Nothobranchius furzeri: one gene and its partners. The protein of the gene in region 3 purifies or fractionates together with the protein of the main gene of each other region. This does not show direct contact. Links are inferred from orthologs where the notes say so. Each region holds a gene or a part of one and is shown on either strand. Other genes may lie near its edges.

Region 1 (5,768 bases), on a different chromosome or scaffold from region 3:
CAACACTAGTGCTAGAGCTGGTTTACTGTGATCGTGATCAAACTGGTCATTTGTAGTTTGTTTTTATACAGTTTTGTAGGGTTTTAGTTCCATTATCTCCCTGAAACATGGTGCCGAGCGCTCCTACTGTGACACCCCAGCTGTTTTGTTGTTAATGTGGTGTCATGGACAGCTTGGCTCTGTTGAGGGAATGCAGAGCTAACTAACACAGTAAGCTAGGTATTATTTTATGAGTGTTTTCCTGAAAAAGCTCACGCGTTCCACCATGGTGCACAGATTAGGAACCCGCCCTGTTATCCTGTAATCTGCTGGTTCAGTCCACAGTTTTAACCACAGCTGCCATTAAACTATGGTGCATACTGTAATGCACCGCTAAACGGACAAATACTTTTATAAAAGTCATTACTGGTGATAATTGTCCCCAGGAGTCTTCAAGCCACACTCACGTGTGCGGTTATTGTCCCGAGCGTTACTAAAAACAAACGGGTGCCTCTGGCTGCGGAGCGGGACACCTGCACACCTGGACGACATACTGGTGTGGCAGCTCCCTCTGAAACCCCAGTGTGATCACACACACACGCACGCATACACACACACACACATACACCAGCTATTATACTAGCATGCTTATGTTGTGTGTAGTTCTGCTGGAGGGGGGCGTGGCCTGTTCCAGGTGCATAATCCACCTTCTCTCCTCAACAGCAATGGGAACAGCAGCAGCTGGAGCAGTCTTGGCCTTGATGGGGAAGCAGTGGAGGAGTGTTGGTCATTCTCACCTTCTGACAGGTTGGTCTTCTCCGCTGCACATGGGGGAGGTGGTTGTGTCCAGATCTAGGTGCAAAGAGCTGCACGTGTTCTGGTGTTCATGTTGTGTTGCTGCTGGTCGCCTGGTCTGATCCCCCTAGCAGGAAGTTGGTCGTAACGCCGCGTTAAAGCGCTCTATAAACCAGTGGTATGGTACGCTGTGTCTATCAACACCGTAATGCTGCTCTAGGTGTGTGTACACCAGAACTGTGAGGTCCATGACTGTGACACCAAGATCTGTACTTAACAGTGTCTTAGCTGTTGGCTTGTCCTCTCCTGTCCTCCTGTGTCCTGATTGGTCCTTCATGATGTTTTCAACAGTGACTACATGGAGGACAAGGAGGCAGAGGTCCAGGAGGAGTCCAGCGGTAAGCATGTTTTGTTGTTACACCAGATGTGTGGACTCGGATCAGGACTGGTAAGATCTCAGGCTGGTGAGTGTGACCGAGCTAAAACCATGTCTCTAACCTGCAGGGATACTCTGTGTGGACTGGACTCAACTGCAGAAGCCCAGGACCACACTGCTGATGAGAAACCTGGACGTGAAGGATCTAGGGCGTAGTCCTCAACACGTCACCCTTGACCCCCAGCTGAGGAGCATGCTGCAGTGGGCTGCAGCGTCCATGGCAGATGTCCCTCAGGTCCAGCTCAGTGCAGAGCGAGGACTCCAGCAGGTGAGTCAATAGGTCTGATGTCCAGAGCTTGGTTACGTGTAAGGTGGGGTACATTCTGGCAGTGCAGCAGCTGAAGCAGCAGCAGGTTTTGGTGCTGGTCCTGGCATGGGTGACTGGGATCGTAGCAAGCAGCTTGTTTCAGCCACTGAAACAGTTAGTCTGAAGGAGGACATATTGGGCAAACCTGACCATAGCAGAGTTGCCAGTCCCATGCATCCCATACTCTCAGCCAATCAGAGAGCCAGGAGGAGACGGGGTGGTTTCCCGCTTTGTGACTTTCATTGAAATGTGACCCATGTAGATAAATACTGAGATCAGCAGTGGTTTTAGGGTGTTTACATCCCTTCCAGCGAGGCTGCTGTTACCATGGTAACAACCGTTTGGGCAGTTGTGTTATTCCTCCAGTTAAGGCTCGAAGTGGCAGACCAAAAACCATTTCAGGTAAACAGAAGTGAAGAATGGTGAGGACAGAGTCCAAGCCAACCCACAGACCAGCACCAAGACCTACATCATCTTGCTGCAGATGGGGTGGGGGGTGCAGAGGAAGCCTTTTCTCTGCCCTTAGCACCAACAGAAGACAAGTCACGCTCAGTGGAGTCGGAACCTGAAAGTTTTCACTCACAGCTTGTCCACAGGATCAGGATCACACCTGTTAAGTCCTCAGGTTTGGGCTGGAAACTGTTTTAAAGACCGTAAACTATGTTACTCCTCGTCTTCCTGGAGTATTATTCACCATGGAGACCCCCCACCCCCACCCCCCCCACACACACACATAGAGACCGGTGAGACGCTTCGCTCCAGCAGCACCTCCAGCATGCTCTCTTATATTTCTCATTCCTAACCCTAAAACAGGACGTCCAGACCCTTCTGTCAGCGCTCCTCCTCCGGAACTCTCTCCTCCTCGGACTCAGTGATGTAGGAGACATGATGGACATGACCGTTCAGACTGCAGTCGCTGTCAAAACCATCAGATATGTGTTGGAATCAGTACCGCATGTCCAAGTGACCCGGATCACATTTAAAACGTCATATATGGGTCACACGAGGGAAACAGCAGTTGGGATGTGCGTGATGTCTGAACTTATGTTACACAACTTGTTGTTTGTGTCTGATAAAGGAACTGACCTGGTCAACAAGTCTGTTAGATCTGATGATCCCGAGTCAACACGGGGCGGTGGAGTTTGGGTTCTGAGCACCTTGGGCTGCATCTGGACAGCTATGATGAAGAGGTCCACCCTTACATCATGTCATGGATATTAATAACAGAGCTATAGCTTACTACCTCACCCAGATGACTCGGACGTCTCCAGCTTCACTAGCAGCATGGCCTAACCCTTGCAGAAGCGTTGCTAAGGCAGCTAACAGTAGCTAACTTTAGCTAGCTTCTCTAGTAACCCACTTTTCATATAAAGCTGTAGTCAGCAGATGTTAGAAGTCCCGTCTGTGTGGAGCGGAGCCCCTGGTGGAGCGGAGCCTCTGGTGGAGCCGTGATGGTGGCTCGTGCCTGCTGCAGGCCCAGAAGCTGCTGCCACCTGTGGTCAGGTGTAATACTCAACATGGCATACTGATGTTTGCTTCAGTATCCCGTGTTGAACTCCATCACATCGCTGGGATTGTAATCCTCCGGGCTGAAGATCATGCTGCCTTTTGTACCTGAAGCAGCACCAAACCCCGGGCAGCAAGATGGTGGCTCTGTTCTTGTTCTGGGGAAACCCGCAGACTCCATGTGTGAACACGCTGGAGAGTGTTCAGCCTCCACAGCAACAGTTCAGCAATTCAAACCACCCCGCCTGCACACCCGGGGGCGGGGTTTCTCTGTTAGTGTTCCCCAGGGCAGCTGTGGCAACAGTGTGGTATGTGAATGACAGCCCCCCCCCCCCCCCCCCACCACCACACACACACCAGCACACTGAAACCATTCTGATTCTGTTCCAGTTGCCAGCTGTGGTCCAGAGGCTCAGAGAGAGAAGGTGGAGAGTTGGAGACCTGCTGCATCAGCTGGTGCGCTACTGCGAGGAGGTCCAGAGCCCCCCCGCAGCCACAGACCAGACCCTGCAGGCCAGTCCAGAACCGTGCTGCACCCCACTGTTCCAGTGGCTTCTGGACCGCACCTGAAACCCCTCCTGGCCTGGGTCCAGTCACCAGAGGGCGCCATGCCAGCACATACGTCTGCTGTAGTGTGTGTGTGTGTGTGTGTGTGTGTGTGTGTGACCCCTACCTTTCTGTTAAATTATTATTATAAATTAGAACTGCTTAGTGAGAATTGGCAGCCCCACCCCTGCATGTCGCCAGACCAGTGGACTGTTTACCTGTCCAGTAATCAGCTGATGTCATCACACACTCCTCTCACCTTTTATTTCAGTTCTCTCAATTGATCACGTTTGAAAACCAAGACATAAACGCTGCTGAGAAACTAAAATTTGTCGTATTCCAGGTAAAAATACAGTATGTCAAAGACCCCCCCCCCCCCGCGTGTGTGTGTGTGTGTGTGTGTGTGTGTGTGTGTGTGTGTGTGTGTGTGTGTGTGTGTGTGTGTGTGTGAGTGTGAGTGAGTGACGGAAAGAGACAACAACCCACTTATGCCCAGGTCTGAAGACTGGATGGTCATTAAACAAAGGACAAATGTGTGTGACGCTGTATCTCCTCATAGCCACTACAAGTACACACACACACACACACACCTGAAACAGAGAAAACATGATTAAGACTGAGGTAACAGAACAGAAGAGTGGAACCAGGAGTAAAACAGGACCAGATGAATACAGATGGCCCTGTGACAGGATGGATCAGACGTTCTACCTAAATCACTGACAGAACCTTTAGGGAGAAGCTTCAAGCCGTGTAGGACTTCCTTTAGCGTTGACTGTAAGAGGGCGCTCGGTCCAACCCCACCTGAGCAGGGTTACCCTCGAGCTAGCGAAGTGCTACAGCATGTCTCAGTGCCTTCCAGATGTTTGGAACGGAGGAGATGCCATAACTCGCTGATGGTGGATCAGGAAGTACGGTCTGATTGGAGGCAAGTCTCTTTCCCCAGAGTGTGTTCAGTTTGGAACGTGGCACTGCCCACATCTGTTCCATGTGTTCACATACCTTACACTGGATAAGAGCCACCTCCAGTGTGTTTTCACACACACGCTCCTGCTGGAGTGGAGCACCCGATGCAGACAGAACCAGTGTTTTATGTAAACAGCTGCAGACAGGGATTTCCTGTTCAGAGTGGGGCCAAAGGTCAGGACCATGCAGACCTTCTGAACCAACAGACAGGGAAGCATTAAGGTGATGTTGAGCACGAGCAGTAGGAAGTTCTGTTATTGTGGATCCACCCTGTGATGAGCTTCCGTGACTTTACTGTGACTCAGCTGCTTCTGTCCTCCTAGTGGAGGAAGCTGAAATTACAACCAACACATGGCTGCCAAATCAAACATGTGACCTAACCGCGTGGCAGCACCTTGTTCTTCGCTCTAGCTGCGGCTCCAACCGCCAACAGGTCAGAACCTGGTAGATGTTCTGAATGCTTGAGGTAAGCAGCTTTCACCTAGCCAGAGCTAGCTACATGACTCATGGATCTGTTCCAAGCTACTGACCGGTGATCGGGTGAACACGCCCCCTCAGCGCCCACTGTGGGATATTTGTTTGATCTCCAGGAACCATCTGGGACACCGAGCCTGATCAGTATTAACAGAAATGTGTTTACATCAAAGGAATGTATTGAATTTGTATTACTCAGACCCCCCCCCCCCCCCCCCCCCCCCCCGTAGTGTGTCACTGTGTGTGCTGAAGGTGAAATGCTGTGGTGTCACTATTGTTCATTGTGCTGCTTTACGAGAAGTTTTGATGTTTTCCTGCTTCCCTCAGACTTCCAGCCAAATGAAGATATTTATTAAATGAAATGTTAAAACTAACTGTTCTCATGTGCTGCTCTGTTGGTGTTCAAGTCATAATAAAGCTTCTGCTGTGCTGAAAGACCGACTCCTTTAATCTGGAGGTTGTGACTTCATGGGAAAAACTACCTGAGCTGGATTATACGAAGGGGTGTGGCATCGTAGAAGGTGTGATTGGTTGCAAAAGTCCCTTTTCCTTTTTGCAATCTCAAAAACAACAGAACACTACTACTAGGGATGAGCGAGTACACCACTATCTGTATCTGTTCAACCAACTAAATTATCTGTATCTGTACTCGGAATGGGCGTGGCATAACCCGGAAGTGGGCGTGGTTTAACCGGAAGTGAGTGTGGTTTACATCAATATATTATTTTAAGTCTGAAATTGATATGGATTGATCAGAAGTTG
Region 2 (6,150 bases), on a different chromosome or scaffold from region 3:
CCTAATAGTCGGCTTTAGATATCAGCCATCGGCAACAAAAGTCTTTAAAAATTGGTATCGGCATCTGCCTTAAAAAAAAACATATCGGTCGGCCTCTAAATTTAGTCTCACGGCCCCAAAACTGTAGAGTTTGTAAGATTATATCTGTTTTCACTTGTAACATTATCCTTTTGAAGACCTTCAAATTTATTTGACCTTATTATTTTTCACTCCATTCTAGTTTGGGGTCATTTTGTATTGAAAAGACAATTTTCTCAGAAATAAAAACATTTTTAAGTTTTTTTCTGAAAGTCAAACCCATTCAGCATCACCAAACATCTGTGTCTGATCTTTGGTGTCCCATTGAAGCACAAATGGAAAATTTGTGAATGCTGTGTTTTTCCCACAACCCAGCACTGTTATCCCCTAAACTTAAAAGCCAAAAGAGTCACTAATGATCACTTTCGAGACAATTTTCTGGTCTTTGAACTTAAGATTTTTAAAATATTGATAGTTGTGATGCTGCACTGATCTACCTTTTTGTGTTTTGATTTCAATATCTGAATTTAAATATCTGCCTGTAGCTACACATACCTCTTTCAGTACTGTATTGTTGATGGTGATTGTGTTTGGCTCCAGTTAACTACCTAGATTTCATTTTAAAATAATAATGAAATAATACTTAAATTCATATTTACATCAAAAGTAACTGAGACATATCTGAATGACCCCCTCACAAGTCAGGTCCTCAGCAGCTGAGCTGCTCTGTCGTCTCTGCAGCTCTTATCAAAGTGAAACACATCTGCTACCTCACCTCATGTAAATATCTGGAACAAACTCTGATTTTTGTGGGGGCTGCAGCAGGGGAGGTTTTGGGGGAAGCTGCAGTTTGTGCAAAACACTGCTGAAGGTTAGCTTCATCATTGGCTTGGAGGAAAGTAAAGTTCAGAAGTCCAGATCATGTGAGCTGATGATGTAAGTGGGCTGTAAAAAAACTACTGTAGGGATATAAAATATATTGTTTAATAATTAAAACAGATTATTTTAGCTTTTTTAATGTATTTATTTTTTATCAAAGATGTAGGAATCATTTGAAAGAATTTTCTAGAGTTTGATGGGTCCTCAGTGAGGAAGTATCATATTTTATAATAATGAGCAGGGGAAGTGTTGAGTTATTGCTTTACATGTTTTAGGGTTACAACAAAGCAGTGGACTGGTGGGCCCTCGGAGTCCTCATCTATGAGATGGCAGCTGGTTACCCTCCGTTTTTTGCAGATCAGCCGATTCAGATCTATGAAAAGATTGTGTCTGGAAAGGTAAGCGAGATTTATTTTCTTAGATGTTTTCCATGGTCTTTTCTTTCTGTTATTTCCAATGTGTGTGTGTGTGTGTGTGTGTGCGTGCGTGAGCGCGCGCGCGCACACAGATTAATTACTAATCTCAAGTTTCCATAAATGTTTTTTATTAGGTACGATTCCCCTCCCACTTCAGCTCTGATTTGAAGGATCTGTTGAGAAACTTACTCCAGGTGGATTTGACCAAACGTTACGGCAACCTAAAGAACGGAGTCAATGACATCAAGGGTCACAAATGGTTCGCTACAACAGACTGGATCGCAATCTACGAGCGAAAGGCAAGACGCCAGACACTTTTAAAACACGAATCTGGAGTTTTTTCTATAAGGACACCCTCTAGAGGCAGAATAATGCATTGCGCCCATTTAGCCCCTCTCCCTACTTCCGTGATTACGCGTCTCGTTCGTGAATGTACACCTCTAGACAGCCAACAGAGCTAAAATACATTGTTTTACAAACATTATTTTTACATCATGCTGCTTATTCATTTTTAAAAGACTAACTTGTCCATACAAAATGTTGCCAACACTGCATCAGTCCAAGTACTTCCGCAAACATGCATGTACGCTCTCTGATCGATATTCATGTAAGCAGATGTCGAACGCTATTGGCTAAATCTGGACTTTGCCATTTAGATTAAAAATGTTAGCTAAATGTGCAATTAATACATTAATGGCTTTATTTTGTGAATTGGGAACAAAAAATCAAGGTTATTTTTCATTCGTGGTCAATTTTTCTTCCTGATTAAGATTTTTCTTTATAAAATAACAGCTCCTCTACTCCATTGGTATTAATGCACGAGTTACACCAACATTTAATTTCCCTCTGGGATCAATAAAGTAATTTTGAATTTGATTAAAATAGAGAAAGAAACAGAATCTATATAGGGTTGTCACGGTATGAAAATTTAACCTCACGGTTATTGTGACCAAAATTATCACGGTTTTCGGTATTATCGCGGTATTTTTTAAACGGTGTTGCATATGTTCAGAAAGCATTGATAGTCCTGTTCTACACAAACTGAAATAGTTTTGAAAAGGTTTAACAGTGTTTATTAAACCTAAAATAACACAAAGCCTTAGCAAAAGTGCAACTTTTCACAAGTAAAGGAACAAATAGCTTATTTTTCTGGAACTTGTTACAGTAGTCAGTGCAGGTTAAATTATACAAATCCAAACATTCAAAACATAAACAATATGTAAACAAATCAAAGAAACACCACTTGTTTTCTCATATACTTGTTTTCTTCATTATCAAAATGAAAATCTAAAACTCCAGTCCACACTTGACTTGAGCGCTGTACAAGTCAACCTTAAAATATATGTATTTAAAATAAATAGCCACTTTAAACAAATGACTAAAATAACTACTACACTATGTAATCAAATCCAAATGTTCAAGTATAAATGGCATTGAATAAGTAAACAAATCAATGACAAGGAACTAATTGTATATTTCTCTTCATCATCAACAAATAAGATGCTTCATCCAGCAACAGGGTGTCCATGACACGGTTTAAATGCTGGCAGAGGACGCTGCGGCTGCAGTATATAGTGACTCGTTGCATTCTCCCTCAACCAAAAGTCCTCGCGTCATGCATTTAAGCTAAAATGCTCATGTTGACTTACCTTGCACTGGCTGTAGAGATGTGGGTGATGGTCACGCAGATGTGCCATTAGATTCGAAGTGTTGCTGCCTTTTACAGACACTTGTTTCCTGCACGTTCTGCAAACGGGATAGCAGTCTTCTATTAACTGTCCCTCAGCATTTTTCAGAAATCCAAAATATGCCCATACTTCCGATTTAGTCTTCTTTGAGGGCTGATGGATGTCCTGGGCGCTGCCGTCTCCTCCTTCGGCCATTATTTCAGCTTCAACGTTTTGGTGCCATTGCAAACTAAAAAGTGCGTGTGCGCGCTGCGGGAACTTCAGCTGAAGCGACGGTGGCTGGTAAGGGTCACCGCGCCGAAACCGCGGCCACGGTAAACCCACCGAGATAATATAGTTTTTTAAAAACTGGACGGTTATTTTTATTGTCAACCTTTTTACCGGGGTTTACCGCTATACCGGTTACCGTGACAACCCTAAATCTATATGAATGAAATAGCCAAAAAAAAAAAAAAAAAATACCATGATATTCATTCTTCAGCTACAAATTTTACAGAAACAATAAAGCTAACCTGATGAGGGCTGACCATTTGGGTTTTTAGTTTGTACATGAACACCAAACGCCCGTCTCCTCGCCACAGATTAAAAACCTTTATTAAATATTGATTTGATGATGTTGGATTGACAAATCTGAAAAAAAAGATAAACGGTTCACTTTTTTCTTTTTAAATTCACAAATAATATATTTTAAACTTTCAATAGAAATCCATGACACTGGATTTCCCTTTTGTCTTACAGGTTGAAGCTCCGTTCATACCAAAGTGCAGAGGCCCCGGGGACACCAGCAACTTCGACGACTACGAAGAGGAGGAGATCCGTGTTTCTTTAACGGAAAAATGCGCAAAAGAGTTTGCCGAGTTTTAAAACACAAGAACATGGATATATCAGGGAAAATAAGGGGATGTTTGTACTCTTCAAAAAGACCTGGGATGGAGCAGAGACCATCTTTTATCAGATCTACGTAGTCCCTTCATTCCTCAAGGCTGAATGAGGTCCCCGTGATCCTCGAGTGTCGAACGGTAAACTCCTCACCGTCGTGATCACCTGCGTATTAAAGCAGACACATCACCTTTTTCTTCATTTTACTTTTTTGAATGCCGTTAGTCTTTGTTTTTGTTTCCAACAAAAATGTGATTTTTTTTTTTTTATGTATGTATGCGGAAAACCTCTGGCCAATAACAGTCCACCCACTATAGCTGATTTTTCTTTTGGCTGTTTGGCACACAGTTGAGTGGGTTGTGTGTTTTCCCATTTGTCATAAGTGGTGTGTGTACTTAAAGACCCACGTTGAGTTTAGTTTAAGCCAGCATAAACGTAGGGTTTTTGTTTTGTGTGTGTGTGCAAAACTGTCAGTTTTTTAAGACATTTTATCACAGTGAGGGTTCAAACGAAAAATTCTGGGCAGCTGGAGAGAGGTCCTTCCCTTTCTTTGCTTTCTGCCTTAGGAGAGCTGAGTCCTTAGACCCCCCAACAAAAACATCCTTTCACTGTCTTTTTGGAATTCTGACCCAGACACAGCAAGCCATTGCAGAAGTCGACAAGCCTTGCATTAGTTAAATGCATATCCACGTCCTTGGTTGATCCACTTTGGGTCTGTTTAATACATGTAAAGTTTTCTCATTTGCTATCTTAATGTTTATTTTATTTTTTTTTTACATTGTGTTTTAACGTTAGAACAACTGTCCCTAGATTTTGGGAATCCTTTAACTCTTTTTTTTTTTTTACTATTCTCTGGATTAATGCAACTATAAGAGAAAAAGACAAAGTCCATTGTGGATTTTTATTTAGTTTTGTAAAGGTGAGAAGGCCGTTGTGAATAGGGTTGAGGCTTTAAGTTTTAACATTAACAGTTAAACCTCAAAAGAATAAATAAATTCTTAAATATTTTTATGTATGAAAGGAAAGATATTGTGAAATCCTTAGAAGGCAAAAAATCATATTTACCCATCATCTCCCCATCAAAGAATATGTTGGAAACTTCTAGATTTACGCATTGATGCTTGATTTAAAATTTTCCAACAAAACACTGGCTAAACTAAAGACTGCTCCTTTGAATCACATGCAACCCTGTTATTGTTACGCTCATGACATTATACATATATGCTTTGTTACATATTTGGTTTTATTTATACACATTAGAGATGCTAATAAATTTTATTTTTAAAAGGGTGGAAGTTTGACAATGTGTTCATTGTGATTCTGGTCATTAAACCTGGGTCACAGCCTGGCCAGCCATGCCAATGCGTCTTAATGGCCTCTGTGTAGAATAGGCAGAGGGCGATTTAAATTTAAATTAAAAACATTTAATATTCTGCCTATAACTCTTGGTGTTGTGCCCTCTTCTGCATTCAAATTTAAATCTGCCATCACTATTGGCTAAACGGTACCCTATGACGTTAGCTGATACCATATGATGTCACAATGCCGTTGTGCGCCTGTGTGTGCCTGTATTTGTTAGGGGCTCCGCCCTCAGTCTGCCAGGCAACAGCATTTGTTGCATTTTTTTTAAGCAAGAAGTGGGAGTGAAGTAAGACTGCTAGGAGGTGACTTGCTCTTTAAGAAAAAATAATATTTCTGCTATTTTTAATTTTTGTGGTTATTTTGTAATTCACTAGGACTGCTTAAGATCATTTGCAGACTTGATCTTGAATTTTCCCCCTAAGTGGGGAAATTTTGGTGTAACAGGCAACAGCAGTAAAGCAGACTAACAAGAATGAAGAGAAAAGGGTGGTACAGCAAGAACACATGCACTGCTCACCACCCCAAAAATGTCGCCACCTGCATTTAACCAAGCAAACAGTAGAGCCTCCTATTGGATAATTGCTGCCTGGGTGATTATCTTTCAGCTGGCAACAAGTTATTTAACCCCAACTGGTACAATGAGTTGCTTCCCATTTCTTAAATCATGTGTAAAGACACATCTGGTGGTCGTGGAAAAGAAATCATTGGCATGCATCAAGCATAGAAAACATCTAAGGAGACTGCAGAAACTGGGTTTAGAACTGGTCTGATGAGTCAAGATGGACCCTGTTCCAGAGGGATGGGTGCGTCAGTGTAAGAAGAGAGGCAGATGAAGTGATGCACCCATCACACTTAGTTCCTATTGTACAAATCTGTGGGGGCAGTACCATAATCTGGGGTTGCTGCAG
Region 3 (7,101 bases):
ATCTCCACAATATATTTATAGCTATACTATGTTATAACGATTTACCGGTCGGTCTACGTTCCTACCCTCATCTATGATCATGAGCTTTGGGTAGTGACCGAAAGAGTGAGATCGCGGATACAAGCGGCCAAAAAGAGTTTTCTCCACAGGATGGCTGGGCTCTCTCTTAGAGATAGAGAAAGAAGCTTGGTCATCTGGGAGGGGCTCGGAGTAGACCCACTGCTCCTCCACATCAAGAGGAGCCAGTTGAGGTGGCTCGGGCATCTGGTCAGGATGCCTCCATGGTGAGGTTTTCTGGACACGTCCAACCAGGAGGAGGCTTAAATGGAGATCCAGGACACGTTGGAGGGAGTTTGTCTCTCACCTGGCCTTGGGATTCCCTCGGAAGAGCTAGCCCAAGTGGTTGGGGAGAGAGAATTCCTCTCGACTTAGGCTACTGCCCCCTCGACCCGACTCCGGATAAGCGGAAGAAGAAGGATGGATGGATGGATGGATGGATATGTTAGAACATTGTTAAGAGTCATGAACAATTTTTACGTCAAATAGTTTATCTAATTTTCGATTACAGTTTTAACATTTTCAAATTGACAATTCAGTGAAACATCCAACTATTGTCTCCTGTCCTGCTTTTATGGGTTGAAAGTGTTTGGAAATTGTTTTCCCAAATCAAACATCTTTCTCTAAGCATGCAACAAAAACCTGCAGCCTCAGGCCATCCATGGTTCCATGGTTTTATGATGGCTTTAAGTGAAACAAATAATTTGCTCACTGGATCCAGGTTCTTGAACAGAAGAATGTCCTTGCATGCTTCCTGTAGTCTATATCTCTGCTCATCGGTTTTGGGGTAAGTGACCTGCAACACAAAGCAAAAATAAGCCAATTTAAGAGTGTCATTGTAAAACATGAACCTTAACCAGTATGAAACATGGTGCATGCGAGAAAGCTAACAAATAACATACATGCTACTAACGAGAAAGAGATGGACCCAAACTTCTATCTACAGCTTACCCGTGGTTCCTTATCTTCATCATCTTCATCTGGATTGAAGGCCTCAGCACAAACTGTGTTAGAGAAAGATCAACGGAGGTAAGTAAACTACATTTATACCAGTTGTGATAACTGATGCCATTGCTTCTCTCTTTAGGATACCCTGTCCAATGGATTCATTCAGCTCCATCATCACTGAGAACGCTTCAGGAGAACATTCTTTATTTTCCATTTCACTTCTTTATGTAAAAATGAATCCTCCTGTATAAGCAAATATAAAGGAAGTCGTCCTTCTTGTGTGTGTAATGACACATGTTGTATACATGTTGCATGGCTCCTTCTTTACTATTTTCATTGTTAACCTGCTGACTTAGTTTTATCTTTAGATTTTGCTCAAAATATTTTTTGATTTCAGTGTTTTCTGCAGAGCACTACTTATGGCTGTTGTTGTAACAAAACAGTTTTCTTCTGCAAATACATTAGAATGCATTCTTTGGATGAATTAATGTATTATTTTGTGACTAAACACTGATAGCCTCATTGTGCTTCATCCAAATCAGAGGTGAAATTGTTCATCTTTTGGCTAAACCTGTGGCAGCAGTAGCTCAACAGGTAGAGCGGGTTGTCCAGTAATCGTAAGGTTGCAGGTTCGATCCTGGCTCCGGACAGAGAATTCTGCTGTTGTGTCCTTGGGCAAGACACTTAACCCACCTTGCCTGCTGGTGGTGGTCGGAGGGACTGCCGGTGCCTGTGCTCGGCAGCCTCGCCTCTGTCAGTGCGCCCCAGGGCAGCTGTGGCTACATCGTAGCTCATCACCATCAGTGTGTGAATGAGTGTGTGAATGGATGAATGATACACTGTAGTGTAAAGTGCTTTGGAGTCCTTACTCTGAGAGGCGCTATAAAAGTGTGGGTCATTTATCATTTAAACCTCAGAAGAGATAAACGTTTTGGATGGAAGACCTTAAAGATACAGAATTTCACATTCAATTTATATAATAAAATGTAAGTACAAGTGACATGATTTTAAGCATTTTAGACTCCTAAAAGGAAATGTTCCTGCATGTGTGTAAATGAGCATGAGGATCAGTCAGGGGCAACATTAATCATACCCTTAGATTTTAAACCCTAGTTAGATATATTTATGTTCAAATAGATACTAAATGTTTTGCAGAATATTCCTCACACTTTTTATATTGGAAAAACTGCAGCCATCCGTTCCAGTGCAGAGCTACAACTTTACCACTATTCTTAGCCAGAGATAATTAAGGACCACTTCTTGCCCTGATTTCTGCACCCACGTCACTCACTGATATTATAAACCAAGTTCACCACGAAGTGGCTTCACACACTGTTATAAATCAATCCTATTATTATAAGGGAAGGGACAGTTACAACAGACAGATGGAAAATTTCCCCCCGACATTCAGATGAGATGATACTGTCCAGACTTTTCCCTTTAATACGTCAGGCATCCCAACGTAACTCACCTGATGCTCTTCTGATGAATCTGTTTATCACCGGAGCTGTAAAACATAAAAGCCAGGTGTTAAACTTGCTCTTGTTGGAAATGGTTTAGGTTGCTGCAGTTCTGGAGCATTGCTCTTGGGGATCCATATTCATTGGGGGTAAAACCTGAATGAGAACATCTGCTTTGAAGTGGGTTTAGGGTCTTTGAATAATGCCACAAAAGGTCAGAATGAAAAATGCATTAGGAGGTCATTCACAGACATCCTGCAGGCGGTGCTGACTCAATGAAAGTGCCCCCCCCCCCCCCCCCCCCCCCAAAAAAAGACTATTAAACTAATGAATGTGGTGCACCTGCATTTATGTAACCAGATGGTCCCCAGACCCCACTACTCCCATTGATGATAGGTCAGAGCTCTGCTGTCTAGCAACCCTGCACTGATTACTCTTATAAGCTACAATTTAGTGCATACCAGATCATTTGACCATATCCATGCCATGTTTGAAAGCATTGAATATATAATTTGTCTTATTTTCTATTAGCTAAGGAGGGTAAATAGGCCCATCTGGGCCTGCATCTGAGACTGCAAATATTCAACCCCATCCACTCCTACTCTGAGTGCTTTTTAGCACACTGTGGTGCCGGCGTTGAGATGGCAGCTGTTTGGTATTTAAGGATCATTTTCTCGCACAGACACATTGTGACCATCGCTCATCCTCTGTGACCGTATATGGCAACTGACAGCGCGGCGGTGGTGGATGCAAGGTGGCGGAGCGCCGGTGCATCAGTCATTATCCCCCACCGCTGCGACGCGTGCCCATGCTTCAAATAACATTAAGGTCATCCGCATTCACGTGCGTTTCTCACAGTCGTGTTTAGATAAAAGACAAAGGAAAGCAGCAACCGTTCAGACCACCTGTGAATTCCTCGTCGTCATCGTCGTCGTCGTCGTCCTCTCCGTTCTCGGAATCGATCTGCATGGCCTCGTCAATAAAATTGACCGCTTTTCCTGATCTCGGGGCCGAATTTTGCTCATTGCCAAATGAGGCCTCTTTGGTCTCGCTGTCCTTCAGCTGGGTGAAGTACTGCAACGCAAACTCGAGCAAGTCCCTGGGCTGATTCCTCAACACTTCCACGGTAAAGCTTTGTAACAGCTCCGTCAGTCCTTCAGGAATTTCTATACTCATTCCTGTTTTCAGTCTATGAATGTGGACAAAACCGATCTGCTGCAAGTCCAAGATGAAGGGGAGAAGAAGAAGGGATGCACGCGCAGCTGAGATTAGGAATAAGCGGGTGTGCCACGAGCTGTCCACAGCGGATCCTCTCTTTTTCCTGAATGAAAATGGCTCTGGATTTTGGTCCAAGCATCATCTTCTGCTGCTGCTGCTTCTGGCTATAGGAAACCCACGCATGTGACCCAGGAATCCATGGCAACCACCTATCCAGGGATTGCGTAGATGAGCGGCAGCGGCGCAGAAACTGCAGTCTGTCACAAAATACAAATTATGGGAAGGAGAATCGCCGTGGTGGCTCTTTCCCACAATCTGAGCTGTAAAGGATTTATTTCGTCTTCTGTGCAGCAATTTTGTCAATCAGGTTTTATTCTGAGATGAGATAAAATAAAAGTAAATTTGCAAACAGGAAAATGTGTGAAGTTATTTAATCAGATAAATATTAAAACAGTTTATCGGCAAGATTATATTTTTGCACCATTTAAACTAAAGTAGGCTAAAAGGGAAGCTGAAGTTTATTGTAAAAAGAATGGCTCCCATAGCTGATCCATCTCTTATGGACCTGCTTTTCATTTTTCTCTGAGGCAAAAAGTGAATACGCCTGATGCACAACAAGACATTTTAAAACATTTTTGCAGATCTAAGTTTGGTAATAATCATGGAGCAAATGTCTAGCTCCCTCTCTAAAACATTACTCAAAGCTTGCTACCCAAATTCCAGTTCTGACACAAGACGAAATATAATCTACTCATTTGTTTGAAATGCATTTGTTTTGCAAAAACAGACACGTTCTTGCATTTATTTCTTTTCAAGTTCACTAAAAATATAAATTAATCAGGGATTTCGACTAAAATGTTTAGATTTTTTTGCAAAGACTTTTTATGCATATGGACATTTATTTCCTTGTGTGGGTGATAAGTTAATTGTGTAAGTAGGCTTATCGATTAGAAAACCATTTTGCAGTTTGGAGAGAAAATTTAACGGACTGAGCAGTCTGCTGAGTGGCCTGGAGGTGACGCATGTCGTCAAATATCAGTTCTCCTAAAAGTAGAATGTCTAAAATATGTCAGAATTGCAGCAAAGTCTAAAAACAATCATCCAGTCAGTGGAAGTTGATCTTTATAAAATTTAGAAAGTTTTGAAGTAAAATTTCTATTCATAAATGTAAATTTCCATTTTTAGTTTTGAACATAGTAAGCTCCAGTGGCCTACAAGTCAATCATTTAAAAGTGAGCAATACCGCCATCTGGTGGACGTTTTAGACTTGCCATCCAGAGGTTCAATAAGATGCAGCTTTTCTAATTACAGTAACAATGAAAACGCATCTAATCCACATTAAAAGGCATGTCATCTATTAAGGTATTACTGTACCTTGTGACAAATCTTCTGTAAACTGCCAAGAAGTTAACTTTTATTTGGAGAGAAATGTCAGTTTTCTTAACTGAATTTTAAAGTTTTGCCACTAATTACATTTTAAAGGTTTGAGATCCATATTTGATCCACATGCTGCATTTAAGTCATTGCTCTTTCGTAATTTTAATATTTTGTTCAGTGAACTTGCAGGGCCTCAAATTATCTTCTGTGTTGCCACTGAAAGCATCTTGAAAATTTTCTTGAGGTCAACTAGTCTTTTATTTGAAGCCTTTTATCAGATCACAGCAGCCAGCAGATACAGGAAACAGTCCAACACTGCAGGTAGTTTCCCTTCTGCTTCTAGCTTGCATGTAGTTCCACTTCTGTGCGACTCCCTAAAGATTATTTGAGATGTTGCACCCAAGGGCCAGGTGGATGTTTGGTCATGAAAATCTCAAATCTGGTACGGAAATCATGTTTCTCTGCACAGATGACACTTTTGGTAACATTTATTAGATCAATAGACAGGATTGCATCTTCATAAACAGGTCAGTTAAATATTAACAAATTTACAGTCATGGGGAATGTAAAAAAAAAAAAAAAAAAAACTGCACAAACAATGCTCGCCTTAAAAAACCCTAACCCAAGGACCCACCCAGGACAGCGTCAACCACAGATGGACTGGAGTTGAGTCTGATTCCAGCTTCGTTGTTGTTGGGGTACGTTCTCCCATTCAGTGCTTCACAGCTCATCTTTATCAGTCTTTATCTGTAAACAAAATACAAGTTAGAACCTGCCACACCCAGTACAGTTCTTTACCGTTTCAACGCATTTTAAAAGTCATCTCACCGTTTCATCATCTTCATCATCATCATCAATAACTTCCTCTTTATCTTCAGAGTCATCCTCTGCCGGTTCCTCTGGCTCTTCCTCAGGTTCTTCTTCAACCTGAAACAGCAGCAGACTTAAAGAACCGACTCACCGAGCCAATGCAAAGAAACCAACTTCACATTACCGCCTACCTGTTCATCCAGGGGTACATTCATGCTGAGCCGGAGCATCCGCTCTATTCTGTCTCCGTAGGCTTTTGTGTCGACGAGCTGGTAGCCTGAACGCAGCGTGGCCGTCTCAAACAGAACCACTGCCAGATCTGATGCAGTCTGGTCCTCAGCATCCGCCTGAAGATGTGATGGAAACATGTAGAAACTGCTCAGCCAACTTTGTTTTAGAATAAAAGGCTTAGAAATAAAATCAAAAAGGCACACATACATTGACTCTGCTGAGCATCTGCTTGATAAGAGGATGTTTAGGGTTTATTTCTAGTGTTTTCTTCTGGCTGGCATAGTAGCTGAGGGACAGAGAGTCAACATCGGTTGAGGAGGATTGATGAGTAAACATCAATACTTCAATTCCTGGGTGTATTACTCACTTTGTGGAAATGTCTTTGCCCGTCTGGTAAGCTTGTGCCTTCATGATTCTCTCCATGTTTCCTGACCAGCCATACTGGCTGGCCACCAAAGCACACGGCGAGTCAGTTAACCTCTGAGACAGAACAGCCTTCTCGACCTATTGGAGAATAAAAACCCTGATCAGACATCAGTTAGATAATGTAAACGGGTCATGTGCACTAAAATCAAACCCCTACCTTATCCTTGAGGGCCTTGTCCTTCAGCCATGTGGTGAGAGGTTCATACTCCTTCTCTAGAGCCTCCCTCTTCTCCTTGGCCTTTTCACTCTCATCAAATTTGACACCCTCTTTAGCCACATTCTGGAAGCGCTTGCCATCAAACTCTGGAAGGGCCTGAATGCAGTACTCATCCACGGGCTCGGTCAGGTAAATCACCTCATAGCCTCTCTTTAGCAGTCTCTCAACGAAAGGAGAAGATTCAGCCTGAAGACAAAAAAATAACAGGTGATCACTTACATTTCAGCACTTCCTGTTAAAGCTACACCACATCACACTGCAAACACACCCACCTCTTTCCTGCTGGTGCCAGCCATGAAGTAGATCTTGTCCTGCTTCTCCTTCATGCGCTCCACATACTGCTCAAGGCTGGACTGG
Region 4 (6,334 bases), on a different chromosome or scaffold from region 3:
CAGAGTTTCATTTCGGCCCCGTGTGAGTTTGACACCCCTGTTATTAAGGTAGCGAGACTCAGGGTTGCGAATGACCACAGTCACCAATTCTTGTCATGTGTCTTTGCCTGTACGTATGTCTGATCTCTGAATTGTGTGTACTGAAACTCTAATTTCCCTCTGGGATTAATAAAGTATCTTTGAATTGAATTGAATTAACTGCCAGACATTTCCTGATCAGAAAACTCCTTCGCTGCCAGCGTTTTCAGTTTATTCAGGGTAACTGCAGGTTTAAGGGAGCCGAATTTAAGACTTTTTAAGACCTTTTTTAAGGCCACTTTGACCAAATTTAAGCTATTTTTTTAAATTAAATTTAAGTTATAATTTCCAGCTATTGCCTGGAACCGGTGGAAACGTGGGATTAGCCATCCAGTTACCATTAAACTTGCCCTTCCCCATGGCGCAAGCTCCCACTAGCTTAACCAGCTAATGTGCTCATCTAAAAATAGTCCCCTTTCACAACCAACTGAATGTGTACGGTTCCGCTTACGCCAACATCATACACAAAAAATGCTGAAGACTAACTAGAAATTCTTGTTCATTGGGTCTTTGTAATTTAAGACCTTTGGAAACTGGATTTAAGGATTATTTGTCATTTTTAAGGATTTTCAAGGCCTTAAATTTAGAAAAGCAAATTTAAGACTTTTTAAGACTTTTTAAGGACCCGCGGATACCCTGATATTGAAGAGTCGCAGAACGTTGCACGGTATGACGATGTCAACGCCAACACTACCAAAACAAGAGTAGACTCACCTCTTAGATCAGGACGAACCCGCGCGTTTTGAGCGTTATCTGTTATTTTATAATACGTTGTCAAATTGTGATCGGCAGAAGCTTTTCCGGTTTGCACCTCACTTTTTTTTTTACAGCAGCGGCCCAAAACTATCTCCTACCTAACACGTGGATTTTCTGCTTCCTGATCACGTGACGTGTGACGTATGCAGATGGAGATCAGCTTTGGAGCTGGGATGTTAGATCTCACTGTGCGGGGGCTCGTTCTGACGCCCACACAGTAAAATAAATAAATAAATAAATAAAAAGGCACATGATGACTTCAGTCGTCAATGGCAGTTAATGAGTTAATACAGCAAAAGCTTGATGCATTTTCAAACATCAAATCTCATTAAAAATTGTGTATTATGGGATTTTGCTTGAAAACACTGCTTTTCTAATTCTATGGTATTTTATTTAGTAACTCACAAGTTGACCCGAGGTTTAAATGTTGCGTTTTTCCATTTTACCAAGAATCTGGATCGTGGTTTATAGACTGGCATGTTAATCTTTATTTGGTTAGGATTGATGCCAGAGTAGAAACACCAACCTCACACAGGTGGCATGTTGCCAAGGACTGTGCAAGTGAAGCCAGAAACACTTCATCCCCCCTCCTCCTCCTGAATTTGTACCCCCACCACTTAGGGAACCACCGTATTAACACCTCCAAGTACAAGATGCCATACGTCACTGAAATGAACATTGCCACCTTCCTCTTTGCCTCCATTCGAACCCTTTTTTACGTTTTCTTTTTGACGTTCACCATTAAACTCTCCACCACTCTCAAGCCTCTAGCTCACCCACAAGCACATCAACGTCAGTCTCTGTGAAATGGTGTTTTTAGGCCTTGCAGTCACCGTGATTACCTGTGAAAGCTGCCACTTACCTGGCTTACTCGTATGCAGAACACTCATAAGTGGGTGTGCGGAGGGTGGGGTGTGATCAAAAATCACCTGAGCACACTTCTAGGACAGGTGTGATTTATAAAGCAGGAATTGTGTGCAGCTGTGCGTAAGCAGAGTTTTATGAATCAGAACATTTGTTTGTATAAATAAGCTTTTGTGTCGAGCTTAAGTAGATTTTTAGTGAGGACTCTACACGGCTTCATAAATGAGACCCATATGGTTCTTAGAGCTCGTAGAGACAAGGGAGAGAAAAGTATTTTAACATGTGTTCTTAGTGATCAGACGGGTTTTTAGAGTATGCATGACCACGAACGAAAACCTTTTTACGACATCCAGAGGAACTTGATCCCCTCGCCTGCACAGCTCTCTTACAGTCCACACACAGAGAGTAAATGCAAACGTCATACCTCATCTCCCACCATGTTCCACAGATGAACCAGTGGTAGGCCCGTGTTGTTGTCGTAGTTTGAGACCTTTATAGGAAGCAGGGAGGAAACAGACATTAGACTTTAGCTGGTGGTGGTTCTCTGAAGAGAGAGCTGCAGGGTTGAAGGTAGCCTCACCTGTGCAAGTAAAGCCACGCCTCTGGTCATTTCCTCCAGCGTCGACGTGGCTTCTGCTGAGAAACGATCCTCTCCTGATGAATGACACATCAGTGTGTATGAAACCAGCACCGGAGGTGAACTCAAAACCAAAGATCTGCTCTTAAACACGGCGCTAGAGGCCGACCGATATGTTCAAACTTTCTGTATCGGCCATCAGCCGAAAGTATTTCTAAAAGCTGCGAAAAATATATATATAAAAAAAAATCAGGCACCTCTGTGACCAACTACTGCCACTACTAGACTACAGAAAGGACCCGAACAGCTCCTTTATGTTGTGAGTTTGTTTGACAGCGTTTCCCGTACGGAGCTGAAACTCCAGCACAACGCCTCCAAAGATCAGCAGACGTTTCTTTAAGAGTGTGTGTGGTCAGGGTGGGCGGTACCAACCCTCAAACCTGCTGGCGGACGCCAGAGGTGAGGGATGCTGACAAGCTGTCTTTATGGCCAGAGGGCCGACTGAGGCTGCTGACAGGTTAGGGGTCGCAGTGGAACAAAGCCGGGCCTGGGACAAGTTTCAAGGTGATTCTGGTGCAAATCCGATATCTGAGGAAGTTTATGGTGTTTACGGCGGTGATGGCGTGCTGCTGACCTTGCCTGGGAAGGGCGAATGAGTGGGCGGGGCCCTTTGATTTAACAAACAATAAAATAAATGTCTCCGACTCTGACAGCCAGAAGATCTCTCTAAACTCAGCACGTAACAAAACAAAGCTGTACCTGGAAGAGGGACGATGTTGTCGAGCAGAACTTCTGCACCTTGAAATGGCAGAGTTACAAAATCTGACCTGCAGAGAAAGCATCGTGTTATTTGCTGATGTGTATGAAACAGATGACAAGTAGGCTAGAAGCACAACAAGTGAATGTGCAGAGTTATCAGATGAAGCTGCAGCACCAGGAGCCCAAAGGCTAGACGCCCACAGGTCAGCTGGAGGGCGCTTGCCTGATCTGTCGGAGCGAGTCGGTCTTTACTCGGTCGTAGCCTCCGTAATCAACATATCTGATCTCCACCTCATCGCTGTCTTTATAGAAGGTGATGACCTGAGCTCTCCACCAGGCTCCGTCCACTGCTGGAGCTGCGCAGATAACACCAACTGGAAGAGAAGGAGGAGAACTTCCGACACAGATCTCACCACCGTAGAGAAGACGTTCCAAAGAAAAGTTCTACCTTCAGCAGGCGAGGGCAGGGCGGGGGTACCCGGCTGGGAGTAACACAGGAACATCTGCTGATCCAGACTTCTTAGGGCGTGGTAGGTGGGGTGGGTGTGTTGCTGGACGAAGACGTGACCAGCTGACACGATGTTCACCACAACCACCTCGACGGTCACTCCACTGGGAAGCAGGAGCTGAAAAACATGGAGGTCAAACAGCAAAGCGTCAGAAGCCTGCGCTCAGCACGAGGACTCAGCTGTGTAGCGGAGAAGCTCCTTCTCACCCAGGAGGTCATGGGAAGTGAAGGCAGAGAGAGTGAGGGTGGTGGGGGTGCGTACAGATTGGTCAGGTCCAGGTCCTTAAACTTCTTGCCAATCAGTGCCAGAGCTTTATCAACCTGCTGCTGCACACCTGGCGACAGATCAGGCAGCGTTAGAAACCACCTCCGAGAGGAACCTTTCCTACAAACGGGCGCCTTGCAGCAGACTCACCCTCTATGTGGCAGATCTGGAACTCCTGTGTGTAAGGCAGAGTGGAGATGTAGATCTTTGCTCCAGAGTTCTGCTTCAGGAAGCTCACGTATCTCCCCTGCTTCCCGATCAGCCGCCCTACAAGATGCTGACACGGCAAGAAATGCTCATGAGAACCGTCCTCAACCACTTTGGACCATGAGAGGAAAATCCAGCGACACCAGTTTTACTCCTCTGACATCCACAAAGAAAACGTAGAGCAGCAGAAGCAGGTTTGGTTTCTCTGCCGGCGGCGTCTCCGTTACAGACACGCGGGGGCGGGGTCACTCACCTTTGGCACCTCAATCTCCCAGATAACGAGTTCAGAGTTTGATGAGGCAGCGTTGTTGCCCTGGCCCTCACAGGCTCCCATAGTGCAGCCGCTGTCCACCGAGTCCATACTGTTCACATCAGAACCTGGACACATCACATCCAATATTTTACCTTCACCAGTAACAATCTACACTTTGTTATGACATGGTAACGTTTCTGAAGCCCCGTGTGTCCAACAGCTGCTTCAGTCCACCTCGACCCTTTCTCCAGCTACTAGTCACCTCCAGCAAAGAGAAGGTTTCACAACCACGTCCGCCACCGCCTGAGGGGCGTCGGGTTATGAAGCCCCAGCTAAAGCCCGATGAGACGGAAAAGGAAACCGGCTGCAAAACCCTCTGAAGTTATGGGTCAGACAAGATCAGAAGCTTCTAGATCAGAACCTGGGCCCATAGTCGCCCGATTAACACATTCAGTACGATCACTTCCAGAGCAGACCCACGTCTTTAGCACATTAAAGCAGGCTGCTAGGACACACACCCTCACCGTTAGCATAGGACGAGCCTCACCTCCAGACTGATCGGTGTCCACCTCACATGTCCCATGAGCCCCGTTTCTTGAGCCAATCCCGTTAAGTCTCTTTAGGACACCTGCAGCATCCACAGAGCTCTCCTCTGGGGCTGCTGGGCCGGCCTCCACCAACGACAGCGGCTGCACGGCTTCCAACGACAAGTCTGTAACTTGAAGGACGTCCGTTTGGTTTTCCAACACGCCGCTCTGCAGCTCCTCCAGGCTAACGCCGTCCTCAGAGTGGCAGGTGCTGCAGGCAGAGTCTTCGGTCAGGACGGTCCCCTCGTCGCCTCTACGTTTCACGTTTAGACCTGGAGAGGCCTGATGCGGCGGCGGCGGCGGCCACGAGACATTTGTTTTACAAACCCCGTTGCTGGCCTCAGCAGCTGCCCGTGCTGGAGTCATGGAGCCACCATTTGGCACTCCCTGGACATCTGCTGCCTCTCGGCACTCAGGGCCTCCCTGCACAAGGCTTCTCGGGTGACAACCGTGCTGCTGTGTTCCTGCGACCGGCTCCTCTAGAGAGCAAAGCTGTCCTCTGACCGCGGGTGAGCTGCCACCGGGTGACACCTTGGTGACACCGAGCACTTCCTGGGTGGCTGCTGAGATGACCTCAGTGATGAGTCCAGCTGCCAGGAGCTCCAGATTCGGCTCTTCTTGAGTGCTGCTCTTGATACGGATGTCCTCTGAGGTCACCAGCATGCTGGTGGGATCCTGGACTGTGAAGGTGAGAGAAGTGGGTGTACTGGTTAGTATCAGTTTGTGTACATCCGCTGACAGACACGTCTCCAGAGAGTCTGCCTCTGATGGGAGGACCCTTGGTGTTTTGGCTAGGGTAAGTGCACAAACAATCTCATCTTGAGTGTTAACAGAGCTCTGATGCATAGCAACTTCACCCTCTGGCTCTGGTCTTTCTGCACCAGAGAGGCGTGTCACAGAGGACGAACGGGTGACTTTGGTAGCACGGTGAGACGTGATGGCGTCCTCGCTCGAGGCCCCCGGAGCCACCTCTGAATGAAACTCCCCGTCTGAAACTATTAAGAAGTCCCTTCCAGGGGGTTTCAACGAACTTCCTGTCACATCTTCCTCATGTGATGGCGAAGTGGGACCTGTGGGTGTAAAGATGTCCTCTGCTATTAGTCTGCCACTCAGTGGGTCAGGATCATCAGAACTTTGAACCAGGGAATGTGCTGCTTCAACATCCTGGGTGTGGATGGGAGAAAGTATTTCATGTGGTGTTCTCTGGTGGTTTAGACTCGGAGGTCCGTAGAAGTCCACTTCACGTGGAGGTGTGGCAGTCCCGTTTTCATCCACGCCGTTTCTACCCTCCAGGTGAGATGTGTCCGCGCTCGGGGGCCCCTCTGAACTTTCATCGCTGATTAGACGCTCTTTCTTACGCGAGGCGTACCACCACCAGCCGATGAGTGCGAGTACACCGGGCAGCGTGTAGGGAACCACGGAGCGGAACCTCAGCAGCATGTTCTCAAGAGATCAGGGGGCACACCTGAAATTAAAAACA

The links. Proteins that work in one complex are often made in the same cells at the same time.
Region 1: the proteins of cAMP-dependent protein kinase type II-beta regulatory subunit (region 3) and akap11 purify together in Homo sapiens (affinity purification with mass spectrometry; 3 studies listed by BioGRID and IntAct, counting the BioPlex papers as one, with this or other methods). This does not show direct contact. The link is inferred for Nothobranchius furzeri from reciprocal best matches to the Homo sapiens genes PRKAR2B and AKAP11.
Region 2: the proteins of cAMP-dependent protein kinase type II-beta regulatory subunit (region 3) and prkacbb purify together in Homo sapiens (affinity purification with mass spectrometry; 7 studies listed by BioGRID and IntAct, counting the BioPlex papers as one, with this or other methods). This does not show direct contact. The link is inferred for Nothobranchius furzeri from reciprocal best matches to the Homo sapiens genes PRKAR2B and PRKACB.
Region 4: the proteins of cAMP-dependent protein kinase type II-beta regulatory subunit (region 3) and akap1b purify together in Homo sapiens (affinity purification with mass spectrometry; 3 studies listed by BioGRID and IntAct, counting the BioPlex papers as one, with this or other methods). This does not show direct contact. The link is inferred for Nothobranchius furzeri from reciprocal best matches to the Homo sapiens genes PRKAR2B and AKAP1.

The regions. Positions count from the first base shown.
Region 1 is NC_091754.1:39,490,662-39,496,429, forward strand, and holds the end of akap11 (A-kinase anchor protein 11), read left to right. Parts: intron 1-702; coding exon 703-786; intron 787-1,125; coding exon 1,126-1,172; intron 1,173-1,278; coding exon 1,279-1,478; intron 1,479-3,413; coding exon 3,414-3,593; 3' UTR 3,594-3,784; downstream 3,785-5,768. UniProt on the Homo sapiens protein: Binds to type II regulatory subunits of protein kinase A and anchors/targets them.
Region 2 is NC_091751.1:51,163,428-51,169,577, forward strand, and holds the end of prkacbb (protein kinase, cAMP-dependent, catalytic, beta b), read left to right. Parts: intron 1-1,172; coding exon 1,173-1,295; intron 1,296-1,447; coding exon 1,448-1,612; intron 1,613-3,739; coding exon 3,740-3,865; 3' UTR 3,866-4,166; downstream 4,167-6,150. UniProt on the Homo sapiens protein: Mediates cAMP-dependent signaling triggered by receptor binding to GPCRs.
Region 3 is NC_091744.1:62,291,409-62,298,509, reverse strand, and holds the start of cAMP-dependent protein kinase type II-beta regulatory subunit, read right to left. Parts: upstream 3,776-7,101; 5' UTR 3,642-3,775; coding exon 3,371-3,641; intron 2,513-3,370; coding exon 2,477-2,512; intron 1,062-2,476; coding exon 1,009-1,061; intron 854-1,008; coding exon 770-853; intron 1-769. Other genes in the region: hsp90b1 (endoplasmin), read right to left, coding at 5,781-5,807, 5,889-5,987, 6,062-6,217, 6,309-6,387, 6,469-6,605, 6,685-6,930, 7,017-7,101. UniProt on the Homo sapiens protein: Regulatory subunit of the cAMP-dependent protein kinases involved in cAMP signaling in cells. Type II regulatory chains mediate membrane association by binding to anchoring proteins, including the MAP2 kinase.
Region 4 is NC_091753.1:61,603,095-61,609,428, reverse strand, and holds part of akap1b (A kinase (PRKA) anchor protein 1b), read right to left. Parts: intron 6,320-6,334; 5' UTR 6,295-6,319; coding exon 4,815-6,294; intron 4,393-4,814; coding exon 4,268-4,392; intron 4,085-4,267; coding exon 3,958-4,084; intron 3,878-3,957; coding exon 3,750-3,877; intron 3,661-3,749; coding exon 3,483-3,660; intron 3,409-3,482; coding exon 3,258-3,408; intron 3,103-3,257; coding exon 3,035-3,102; intron 2,353-3,034; coding exon 2,279-2,352; intron 2,189-2,278; coding exon 2,123-2,188; intron 1-2,122.